Linked DNA regions of Drosophila melanogaster. The protein of the gene in region 2 interacts with the protein of the main gene of each other region in a pairwise test. Each region holds a gene or a part of one and is shown on either strand. Other genes may lie near its edges.

What was found.
Region 1: the proteins of sim (region 2) and D interact in a two-hybrid assay, tested with the Drosophila melanogaster proteins (one study listed by BioGRID).

The regions. Positions count from the first base shown.
Region 1 is NT_037436.4:14,175,077-14,180,537, forward strand, and holds D (dichaete), read right to left. Parts: upstream 3,545-5,461; 5' UTR 3,493-3,544; intron 3,417-3,492; 5' UTR 2,263-3,416; coding exon 1,114-2,262; 3' UTR 534-1,113; downstream 1-533. UniProt on the Drosophila melanogaster protein: Essential for segmentation and CNS development. May modulate the actions of other transcription factors, including gap and pair-rule proteins.
Region 2 is NT_033777.3:13,070,574-13,078,427, forward strand, and holds sim (single-minded), read left to right. Parts: upstream 1-1,825; 5' UTR 1,826-1,925; coding exon 1,926-1,977; intron 1,978-2,088; coding exon 2,089-2,283; intron 2,284-3,506; coding exon 3,507-3,676; intron 3,677-3,997; coding exon 3,998-4,099; intron 4,100-4,239; coding exon of another isoform or gene 4,240-4,263; coding exon 4,264-4,431; intron 4,432-4,503; coding exon 4,504-4,703; intron 4,704-5,625; coding exon 5,626-5,732; intron 5,733-5,820; coding exon 5,821-6,893; 3' UTR 6,894-7,551; downstream 7,552-7,854.

The DNA of each region.
Region 1 (5,461 bases), on a different chromosome or scaffold from region 2:
TTTAAGCTTTATCCGAATGACTCACTCAATCCAGTTGAGAATATTATGTTAATGGTCTTATGAATATTCAAATTCGTTATTAATTTCGTTGATAATTTTGATGCATGCTCAGAGCACGACCCTGTATAATCTTAAAGGTTATGAAAAATACAGACACAAATTCGAATTTAAATATGATAATCCAATTATGGAGTATAAAATATAATCAGCTGAAAAATTTAAGTCACATATAGCTTGGGCATATGTTTAAAGTAAATTTATAACATAACTGTAAAATGTGGTATGCTGGCTAAGAAAATGGGAAATGCATTCTATTAAAGGCTTAAAATTATCTTTTTTGTTTTTCAGCTTTTTCCCGGTATATATATATATATGATAACTTCGTCTGATTCCAGTCACAACAACTCTACCTATGTCTTTAATGTGATTACATTTGGTAGAGAATCATCATCATTCATTTCAAAACCAATTGCCAGTTTCACATCTTCCAAGCTGTAAATTATTTGAAATAGAATAAACAGGTTTTCAAATTTGGTTTTCTCAAATCATTTTGTTTTTATTCACTTTTAAATGTCTTTGTTTTGTGTTGGCCTTCATGAACCATTATTCGCTTAGATGATAACTTTTACAATACAATTAATAATACAATAATACATTGATGTACGTTCTTTCCTCGCATTTGGGGCTACACTGAGACTTTAACGAATAGTTGCAGGGATATTTACAATTTGAGAGGGTTAGACAATTAAAACTATAAGCTACATTTTAGGTAGGTGCTGATGCGAAAAAAAACAACAAGAAGGAGGCGCTCGCTCGATGCTTAAAACTAAATAAAATTAATTTACAATTAGGTTTATCTTTTTTAATTTTCTTTGCGGTATAGTGAGTGCGCTAAATAAATTATAATTTATAGTTTGTGTATTGGCTAGGAATGTTTTGTGTGTTCCCTCCTTACTCTCTAGATCTGAAGTGCGCGAAGATTGTACTAGAATTAAGCGGAGTGGTTTGGAGGATTGGCTTACTTAGAGCTTTTGAAGATTTAAAACCAGTGGATCACTTTGGGAATGCGTCAACAATTGTACTCTACTCTGTACTCTAACCTAAAACTCGACTCTAATAGAGCACCGGAACCGGTCGCCTCAGGGCACTGTCCATGGAACCATCCATACCATTTGGCGTGATGGTTCCGGGCGAAGATCCCGGCGAGGAGGTGGACGAGGATGGGTAGAGTCCGGCGGCATTGGCGGAGTGTGCGGCGTACAGCGAAGGTGCCGAGATGCCGGAATAAATGCCCGAGTAGAAGCTGCTCAGCGAGGTGGGCGGCAATTGGGGCGGGGCTTGTCCTTGCTGCTGACCCTGATTGTTGACCGCCGCCGCCGCCGCTGCCTGGGATTGATGCAATTTCGATAGAGCCAGTGGGTCAAATCCACCGAAGTACGGCACTGGATAACCCTGATCCAGATGGTGTGAGGGTGCAAAGTATGGCGGTAGTTGATGGAATGGATTGTAGCCTCCGGCTCCAGCTCCCGGTCCAGCTCCCAACTTCTGTTGACCCATGCCGCCGGCCTGCATCTGCAGTCCACCCTGGGGTCCAGCGGTCAGTGGGTTCTTGGGCTTGCGGCGTGGCCGGTACTTGTAGTCCGGGTGCTCCTTCATGTGCAGGGCCCTCAAGCGCTTGGCCTCATCGATGAATGGTCGTTTCTCCGACTCGGCCAGCAACTTCCACTCGGCACCCAGGCGCTTGGAGATCTCAGAGTTGTGCATCTTGGGGTTATCCTTGGCGATCTGACGACGCTGCAGGCGGGACCAGACCATGAACGCGTTCATTGGACGCTTGATGTGACCCTCTTGTCCCGGCGATGTGGCCAAACTGTGCATGCCGGCGGACTGGTGACCCGAACTGGAGTTGAGACCACTGCCATTGCTGCCCAGGCTGCTCTGGCTACCCAGACTGCCGGCGGATCCGATGGAACTGTTGGGCGACAAGGTCTGTTGGGCGGAGACCGCCTGGTGCATGTGGTGCGGGGTCATGTGACTGGACATGTGGTGACCCATGCCCGAGGATCCGTTCACACCCTGGCCGGCGGGTCCATTGGGCGATCCGCCCATGGCTGCCAGGCTTTGGGAGTAGTGCAGCACACGCTTGATATCCATGTCCATGCCGGGACTCAGCTGGAGCTGACTTTGCGGTGCGTAGTCCTCCAAGCCTTGGGCCTGACCCAAATGGAAACCGTAATTGGGGTGTGTCGATAAGGTGGCCATTCCAGCTATTTTGAACACTTTGTTTAACTTTTGCTTCTTTCAAGATCAACACTTCACTTTCTAGAACACAATATGTCTGTGGTTCAACTGTGATTTCTCAGATTTTTTCTTTGTCTCTATGTCAATTACTGTCTTGCTTTTGCTTCTGCTTTGCTCTTGCTTTGCTTCTGCTCGGATCGACTGCTTTTTTGTGACTGATTTCAGTAGTGTTCCAGTGCGGCCTACACGACTGCAGCCAAATCCCGTTTCTCTCGGAAGAGAGTTGAGCACGAAGTGCGAGCAACCCTCGCACCATTACCTTTACGTAAGCCACGTGGGTGCGAGCGGGATAGAGGCTGGGCTTCTTACCTGGGAGAGAGCTGCGCCGTCGTCGCGCTCTCACTCACACATAGCGTCTTCTCTCTTTCGTTTTGCGGCCCATTGTTCCACTGGCTTTGTTCCATTGGCTCCTTTATATCGGTTATAGTTGTTCGCCCATTGAGGGGTGTGTTCAATAGAGGAGCTCAATAGAGCCAAAAGCCAGGCAGCTCTCGTTCGGCTGTGCTTCGTGTTATTCGATTTAGCGACCCCAATCCTGTGGGGCAGGGGGAGCTCAAAGTACGGAGCGAGAGAGAGAAAGAGAGCCAGGGCGAGCGCGGGAGCACATTGATTTTCGCACAGTGGGCACACAATTTCCGTTATTGTTTGCACGGCGGCGTTGCACTTCCGCATCTCCTATGCAGTTAGAACGAGAGAGGGAGAGAACACAACTCTCTCCCCGCGTATGTGTGTGCGTGTTTGTTGGGCCAATCACAATGGGTCTTTGGTGTGAATTTTTGTCCATTGTGGGTGTCTGTGTTCTGCTATATACCGTTCTCTATGTGTACTCTGTAGTCAGTACTATGTGTGTGTGTGAAAGGACTTTTTAGTTTGTGAAAAGGACATGGAAACACGCTTTCCATTCTCTTGCCCCGCTCTCCATTCTCGCATTCTTTCATTTCGCTCGCCATTCTTCTCCATTCTTTTCCGTTCCCTTTTTGCCACTTCTTCCTGGCCGCTCCAGAAAGGATATTACTGCAATTATTTACTTATTTGGCCATAGAAAGAAGCCCACAAAGGAGCCAGTGGAAGTGAGGCAAATCTTCACCCAGATGCATGTAGAACGGTCCTCTGTGCTTTATTATAGAAAAGATGTTTTAGCCAGCTTTTCTTTTTGGTTTACCAAATAAGCAGTAGCAAAAGAAAACAAACCTTTTAATGTTGATTGAAAGGACAAGGGCAATCGAATAATTGACAATTAAATCTACCGCAAACTAATGTTTTTTTCATTCGTAACTAAAAGAGTTTCCCAAATAATAATAATAAGTTTTCAAATTCTTGTTAACACACATATTTACCTCTCTTTCGAAACGAAGACATAATTTATGGCTTTTGTGATGCAAAGATTGTAAGAGTTTAACATTGCTTCATTAAACAACATCTTGACCCCAAGAGCCGTTGTTTTAATAAAAATGTTTCTTTCAGGAATAAGGTTGCAATATTCTATTATATTTTTTAAAACTCCATAACCCCAAAAGTAAAACCATTCTCCCCTTTGAGCTTTTATCCCACCCTTCTCTTTGCCTTTCTCCTGCTCATGCACGCACCCACACAACGATGCACCAAAGCTTAGTGCAATTTCCAATTGCATTTACAAAGCTCTTATACCTGGCCCATAGCGTAAGAGCATAAAAAGCTTTCAGCGTTCGCAACGTTTCCGTTGTGTCTGCTTTCCCCAAAAAAGGAAGAAAGGACAACGTAGAACGGCAACAACAACGAATCTCAAATAATAATGAAAGCAAAAACTGTTGTACGTTGTGTAATGGAAAAAGTTTTGTCCGCGTCACATTTTTCTTTCTGAGTTTTCAGCATTTCACTTAGCAGACGAGGACACTAAGTGAGTGATAATAGCACACAGTGTAGGATGAATGCAGGATCCTGTTTCCTAAAATCGCTCCCCACCCACATGCGGCATAAATAATTGTTACATTTGTGATACAATTTATGATGAATTCCTTATTTTATATAAATAAATATTCTTTTAGAATCCAGTTAAAATAAGTGTAAAGAGTAAAACAAATAAGGATAAACGTTTTAAATTATTAGCACATATACTCTTTATGTGTTTTGCTATCAAATTCAATAAATAAATAAGCTAGCTGATGCATTTTTAATTTCATTTTTGCGGAATAGTGACAATCAAAATTGTCTTAAGAATATTGTTCAAATTAGTGGAAGTTGTAAAATAATTCATGATAAACTTCTAATACTCGTAGTTGGATAAATAAACTCTAAATATGTTTTCTGTCTAATTTAATAATTACTTAAGCTAATAATAGATTTTCTTTCTTTGTTATGGTGCCGTGCAAACTGAAAAACATTTTATTTATCAGATATTTATCTGATAAAAATCTATCAGTATAAATACAGTATCAGAGTGCAGTTGAAAATTAAATAAATGTAAATTTAATTTGATCGCATAATGGCAGGTGAGAGATGAGTCAAGTTGTGCCGTGATTACTATTATTCGAATACAATATTAACCATTATCCTGTCGCCAGAAATCACCCTCACCGCTTAACCCATTCGAAATTCACCGATTCTCCGCGGTGAAAGAGAAAGACTCGCGTTTTATTGTTCGTTCCTGCATTGTTGTTGTTTTCGATTGTTGATTGTTGTTGTTTTCATTCAATTGTCATTTGGGGAGCTGGTTTCATTTTTATTTGTTGTATTCCGCAAATATAATTTTTGTCATTCATTCTTTTTTAATTAAATTCAGGAACAATCGCGCAAATGTAAGACTTGACAATGTCCAGAATGGATTCAATGATAATGAAAAAATTAAAACGAATATAAAAGGCAAATGAGGTTACATTCCCATTATTGTTCAGTTGATTGAATCGTTCAATTATTGATATGGCATATATATCGTATCATTTTTGCAAGTTATATATTCTTTTCCCCCTCATTTGGAGTTATGCCTACCATCTGGCGTCGGCAGTTATAAAATGAATCGTTTTGACTGAATTTTCTCACGTTTTCGGATTGGCCTTTGTTCATTTTGCATTTCCATTTTCCACCCACAAGAGTTCTTTTTTGATTTTTCCTGCTTCCTGACGTACGTGTCCATTTGATCGCCTCACAGATTTTGGCGCTTTTCACATGTCATTCCAGTTAAGAG
Region 2 (7,854 bases):
TGCGTGGGAATCTTTGCTCATCCTACCTGTTTCCATGCCACACCAACCCATTCCCACAGCATTGTCCTCCTTATGTGAAACTCTCTAGTTCAAGTTCAGTGTGAATATTTGTGTTGACTTTATTTTTAAACTTTTGGCCATTTGTTTTCAGTTTGCTGTTTGCCTGTAACCAGATTAAGGTCAAGTTGCTTGGATGGGCTGGGATTCGGCTTGAGATCCGGTTCATTGAGTTGCCATTCGAGGCATGAGTCGCATTTTTATACGCTTTCCGGGAAAAGATCGTTAAAGTTTGAGTTTCATTGTCGTGAAAGGGGAACTTTTTTAGCCCTAGGGTTTATAAATATAATTGAAAAAAAATTTGAAATGACAATTTATTTAACATTTTTTTAATTTTCTGTAAAATATTAATCCTAAAGATGTGCACATTTTACGATGATTTCATACTATCTAGCATGTTTTGATTACATCTTTGTTTCCTATATCCAGAATTGAGATTATTGAAACAAACGCTGATATATCAATGGCATATTCCCGTATTTATGGCTATATGAAATGCTGTAATGTTCAAATGGAATAATGGCTTATATCCTGAATAATTTTGACCCACTTACGGCTCGTAAACTATCCTATTAAATGGATTTGCCGGCATATGATATCCAACCCTCTGGCTGACTCCTGTCCGCATATTGTACGCTAGTCGAGTCAAATATGGCAATCGCGGCCTAAATGGGAACGCCTCAGTTTTCCCCTATTTCCCCTGGAATTTCCACTTCGCCAACGGAGAAAGGGAAGCAACCTCACTTCAGACGTGCATGTTGGCACATTTGCGTTGCGGATTAGCGCGGAATACTCTTTAGGATTATGATCGTTGGGCAAATCTGTTGCTCCTGCGAATGCGTAACGGATGTCGACAATTCCCTCAATCTCTGACTTTTGACAAATGTTTCATTTCTTGCTGCTAAATGGATGCAAAGTACTATCAATACAAAGGAAACACTTTATTGGAGTTTTGGCTTTGATTTATTTTTTAATTTTTTATCATAAATTAGCTAAGCTCTAGTTATTCCAATATACATTTAGTTGAAGTATAAAATTTGAGGTATATATTGCATTATATGGCCATAAAAGACGTCGGATTAACTTGCATATCTAACATTTTTGTGGGCAAATTAGCGGCAAAACTAAAAACATTTAAGATACGTGACCTAAGTCAATAAACTTGTATTTACGTGCGAATTCCAGCCATTCGGTACATTTAGGTAAATGGCCAATTTCTTTGAGAGTGACAGAAAAAGTGACTCGATGGAAAATAAAGCAGCAGGAGTTCCAATGGCTTAGATTTTGCCAAAACTGCGCCAAAATCACGTTCGAAAACTATCAATGGCAGGATTCCGGCTGTGGGTCATCCTCATCCTGGCTGTGGATGTGTGTGAGTGTGGTGCATATAAATTTCGCCACCTCCTAAACTCTCGTTTTGTTTGGCAGTGTGCGTGGGACATCATTTGGGTATTATGTGCTCGCACAGACACCAGAATATTTGTGTGTGTGTCTGTGTGCATATAGATATAAGTGAAACTCCTGCGGTCGGCAAAAGTCAACCTGTTGAATGCAGGAGTCACTTGGAGTGAGATGGCAGCTATTTTCGTCTCGCCATTCGGCAAAAATGATCTGAGCAAATTAGTAACATTGCGAAAAGTCAATTGCCCCGGGTAAACAGGTAAAAATCCAGTGCAGCCAATGGCAGGTTGTTTTCTCAGGATCAGGTAACAGATCCTTTTCGGGATCAGTTGGGAAACTGTTAAAAGTGCTTGTGCCGCTGGAAAGCGGCTCAGTTGCAAACAGGTGATTGCAGGGATATGAGCAAGTGCTGAGAAGGTGCTCGCAACAGTCTCAAAGCAGGATCTATAAAAAAGGATATCTTTAAAATGACTAACCATCGGCGAGTGCGCAAGGATTGCTATGAGAGCAGATTGCATGGTCGGTTGTGGTTTTTGGCAACGAAATATATCAACGTTCATTTTTTTTAGTTTGTTACCAACTTTCTCCTCTGTTACTAAAAATGCTTTTTGGTTATTTCGATTTTTGCAGATATAGCCAAAACGTGTGCCATGAAGGAGAAAAGCAAAAATGCGGCACGCACGCGACGTGAAAAGGAAAACACGGAATTCTGTGAATTGGCCAAATTACTGCCGCTGCCGGCGGCGATTACTTCGCAACTGGACAAGGCCTCCGTCATCCGGCTGACCACGTCGTATTTGAAAATGCGCCAAGTCTTTCCCGATGGTAAGTTCAATCGGAAAATCGTCCTGCGGAAAAACTCACTTGATTGGCGCTCAATTTGTCGCCGCTCTTGGCTTTTCATCTCGTGTGAAATGCGCCTTGTGGCTACACGGCAAATGATGCGGAATCTTTGACAGCCACGCGACCGACACGCTCATTATAATCCAAGCTCGTCATATCCTCGCAGCAGGACATGCTCCTTTGTTTTCACTTTAACTCCAATGTACTTGCAATGATTTCATTTCATTCCATTTTACGCTGCCAGTTTTCAAGTTTAAGCGGCTATGTTTGTTTAAAGCATATGTTGGCGAGAATCGGCCAGGGAAATAACAGGGAAATAGCACTCAACAAATGGGCAGACAATAAACAGCAGGATGAAGTGGGCGGCTGGTTGGGGTTGGCGAAAACACAATGGCGGCTGCTTGGTTGTTTCACTCAAAGAGCAGCGAGAGCCGCACTGGAAAACCGAACTCGAACATCTCCCCCCCCCCCCCCCCCACACACACACACACACACACACATTTCCCGAACTTTTCCCCACCGACCATGTGAGCGTGCGCCACTGAGATTTTCTGCTGACAAAGAGGGTTGCTCGAGAAGTGAGTGGGTGGGTGGTTCGTTGGTCGGTCGGTTGGTTGGGCGTTTGACGCTCCCATTGTTGCCGCACCGTTTTGTGCTTTTCTTTTCAGCCTTTATTGAAATAATTATTTTAATAATAGGCAACAAACAACGAGATCCGGACGGGCCAAGGAAGTGCCAGTGGTATTATGTACAACACAATATATGTTGTATATATGGTGCGAAGTCGATGAAAGTCGGGGGGGGTGGGCCAGTGGGTGGAATGGTGGGCTGTGAATGGGCCACCTACGGCGCTCGATGACTTTAATTGGGAATAATATTTAGACGTCAGCAGTGGCAAGTAGGGCGTGTGCTGCCACTGCCACTGCTGCTGGTGGGAATTTTGCGAATTAAGATACTTCGAGCGGATGACAAACAATTAATTCAGGACATTGGGGCGGATAAGACAATAGAAACGGGAGCTTGACATAATACTAAATCCAAGTCCAATCAAACGGAGACAATAGAAAGGACAGCTTAAATATAAAACTATATAAAAATCATTTAAAACGGAATACAATTTGATTGTATTAAGTAGCAAGAACTTTTTAGATTTCATTTTTAAAGACAATAAAACATGTTTCATAAATCTAAATCTTATTTTGTAGGTCTTGGCGAAGCCTGGGGCTCATCGCCTGCCATGCAACGCGGCGCCACCATCAAGGAGCTGGGCTCCCATCTGCTGCAGACGCTGGACGGATTCATCTTCGTGGTGGCTCCGGATGGCAAAATCATGTACATCTCGGAAACGGCCTCCGTGCATTTGGGCCTCAGTCAGGTGAGTGTCGGTGAATGGATCTCTTGTCCTGATTTATGCGCATAATTTGCCGGGCCACCTGAATTTGCCTTTTTGTATCCTGGCCACCACTTGCATTTGCAAGTCAATGGGCTTGAATGGTGCAGGTCACCCAAGTGCTGTGGCTTCAGTAAAGACGATTCATTTGCATTTGCCCACTAATTGGCACTCAGTGCTGGTGGAGCAAATTAACATAGCTCCACTTATATGATCAGCATAAAGAAATTAACTTTACATCAGTATAGGATATATTTTATATAAATTTAATATTTAATGGTTTATTTATCTCTTTTTTTTAACCAGGTTGAGCTGACGGGCAACTCGATATTCGAGTACATACACAACTACGATCAGGACGAGATGAATGCCATTTTGTCGCTGCATCCGCACATCAACCAGCATCCAGTGAGTAGAGCATCCGTGTTTCCACAGAGTCCTTTGAAACATTTGAAAATGTTTGCGCTCTCTTTCTTTCTCTCTCCATCTCTCTCTCTCTCTCTCACTGCCATGCATCCATCCTACTCTGACTTGTACTCACGCCACAGGCCGCCTTTCTCAACTCCCTACAGCTCGCCCAGACGCACACGCCCATCGGCAGTCCCAATGGCGTCCAGCATCCATCCGCCTACGACCACGATCGCGGATCGCACACCATCGAGATCGAGAAGACCTTCTTCCTGCGCATGAAGTGCGTCCTGGCCAAAAGGAACGCGGGCCTCACCACCTCCGGATTTAAGGTAAAGAATTTTATACATACCATTCCTTTAAATGGATTGATTGCTTATCCTTGTATTACTTGATGATTTTAGGTGATACACTGCTCCGGCTATCTGAAGGCTCGCATCTATCCCGATCGCGGGGATGGACAGGGCAGCCTCATCCAGAATCTCGGCCTGGTGGCCGTCGGTCACTCGCTGCCTTCATCCGCCATCACGGAAATCAAGCTGCACCAGAATATGTTCATGTTCCGGGCCAAGCTGGACATGAAGCTCATCTTCTTCGATGCACGGTAAGTGTAATTCAAATTTCCATTTAATTAGGGCACAAATAGATGAATAGTTCGTTGTCTGCATATTTTCTATCACTTTGTATTGAAATCCACTCGAGAAATTCCTATAAATCTTACAACATCGATTTATTGGATGTTTAAATATCCTTAATGTTTAATATCCTTAAATATCATAATGTAATTCTAAGACCAATTTTTATCCGTGTAGCCTGGTGCTTTCACAGCATAATTTTTCTCACTGCACTTAAAAAATTCTCGAAAGTATCCTTTGCCTGTTTGCCGTATATTCGACACTAGGCAAATATTTAAACGGGCCGCAGAATTCGTTTTTTACACCACGATAAAAAGTACCAGCAGACGCCCCCAAAAAGATAATGTTTTCAAAGTGGCGGAAAACAAAAAAAATAATCGAGTAGGGAAAAGGAAATGTAAGCAAGACGGTGGCGACATGACAAAAGGAAAAACAAATCATTTCCCTCTTGAGCTTGATTTTCCTTTGTCCCTGTGCGTGTGTGTGAGTGTGTGAGTGAGTGCTGAGGGGGAAAGGGGACGCTGTGTAAGTGCCTGCCGGGCCAAAAAACCAGCCCACTTTGTCTGACATTATTGTCACTCAATTACCCTCATGATGCCACACAGCATATTGCCATCCTATTCTGGCGCCCTCGCACTTTCGCAGCAAACAACCCCAAAGTGCTGAGCGGGAAATCAGCCCCTTTTTCGCCGCTTCTTTTTTTTTTGTTTTCCTGCATAATTGAATTGGAGTCGGCAAAAGTAAACCAACCGAATAAAACACGCCAGCGACAAAGGCAACACCAATGACCATTCATTCACTGTTTAAATAAGCCAGCGAAACTTTTGCCCTCGACCTCGAAACTTATCCCCATTCTCATGCTCATCCTTTTGCCTGTTTATTTGCTTACAGCGTATCGCAGCTAACAGGATACGAGCCGCAGGACCTCATCGAGAAGACCCTGTATCAGTATATCCACGCCGCGGACATCATGGCCATGCGCTGCTCTCATCAAATCCGTAAGTACACTCATCCCAATACACTGCCATAATAATTTCCATAAAACATCATTCTCATCGAGTTTGTTTCTTCTCTCCCTATCAATAGTGCTGTACAAAGGACAAGTGACCACCAAGTACTACCGCTTCCTCACCAAAGGCGGCGGCTGGGTGTGGGTGCAGTCGTACGCGACACTGGTGCACAATTCGCGATCCTCGCGAGAAGTGTTCATCGTGAGCGTGAACTATGTGCTGAGCGAACGAGAGGTGAAAGACTTGGTGCTGAACGAGATTCAGACGGGCGTTGTGAAGCGGGAGCCCATATCGCCGGCGGCTCAAGCGGCACAGGCAGCTCAAGCGGCCCAAGCGGCCCAAGCGGCACAGGCGGCACAGGCGGCACATGTGGCTCAAGCGGTGCAGGCCCAGGTGGTGGTGGTGCCCCAGCAGTCGGTGGTGGTGCAGCCGCAGTGCGCCGGAGCAACGGGTCAGCCGGTGGGTCCGGGTACGCCAGTTAGTCTGGCCCTCAGTGCAAGTCCCAAGCTGGATCCGTATTTCGAGCCAGAGCTGCCGCTGCAGCCGGCCGTAACGCCCGTGCCCCCAACGAATAATAGTAGTAGTAGTAGCAACAATAACAACGGCGTGTGGCACCACCATCATGTGCAACAGCAGCAGCAGTCCGGCAGCATGGATCACGATAGCCTGAGTTACACGCAGCTTTATCCGCCCTTGAACGACCTGGTGGTGAGCTCGAGCAGCAGTGTGGGCGGTGGCACCGCCTCAAGTGCGGGCGGTGGATCCAGTGCGTCGGCCTCGTCCTCCGGCGTTTACTCCACGGAGATGCAGTATCCGGACACGACCACCGGCAACCTGTACTACAATAACAACAATCACTATTACTATGACTACGATGCGACGGTGGATGTGGCCACCTCGATGATACGCCCATTCTCGGCCAATTCGAATAGCTGCTCGAGCAGTTCGGAGAGCGAAAGGCAGCTGTCCACCGGAAATGCCTCGATTGTGAACGAAACATCGCCCTCACAGACGACCTACAGCGATCTGAGTCACAACTTCGAGCTGAGCTACTTCTCCGACAACAGTTCGCAACAGCATCAGCATCAGCAGCAGCAGCAGCATCTGATGGAGCAGCAGCATCTGCAATACCAATACGCCACCTGGTGATCCTAAAAATGTAAATAACCAAATGTTGGACGATGAGCCTTGACTGCTACTGTACTGTTGTTTATAAAACGTCGACTGCCCCCACCCCACCATCCGTTGCAATGTTATATACACCTCTGAGTTCTCAGTTCGAAATTGTAATATGTGGCTGAGCCACACACCATCTGAATTTCAGGACCTCCTCTATGCCTCTATTTTATTTATTTAACACCCCCACCATGCATTACCCAATGCAATGCGTTCGCGTTAATTGTGCAGTGTAAAGTTACAAAGAAATTGATACAAAATGCTAAGAAATTAAGAATGCGGAATGATCGTTGTTAACAAATGCAAAAGCAAATACAAATTCTAATAATAAATAGTTGTAAGGCCTAACTGTAAACTGTTCATACAAACTAACTTAAATTAATTGCACATACTTATACTTATAACTATATAGTAAAGCGCATACACTTGGCCCCCATAATCATGCATACACATCGGATCTACGAATATACATATGTATATGCAATAATGTGTAAATAGTGCAGGGTCCGCTCCACTATGCAGTTAACGAATATGATCTTCATAAGTCAAGTAAATAATTGTAAATGTAAAATCTATTATTATCGAGAATTTTTCTAATTTGAATAAACAAATTATTACGTGGGTGAACAATAAAAAAAGAGCGAGAGTTCGATTTTTTCAAATAAGCGCCGCTGGAAGCCTCTAGAGTTATTATTTAATTTAGTAATCTTGGTTTACAAATAAAATGTTATTTTCAAAAACTAGCACCTTTATCTATTTCCATTATCTTTGTTTTAAAATTATCTATTTATATGCTTTTATATATTTCACAATTTAGCGTTTTAATCAAATTTTGTATGGATTGAAAAATGCAGCTTTGACGCAATAGCCGATTTTAAAATATTTCGTTGCATATTTTTAGGTAACATACTAAACTACACATATATTTAGTTCC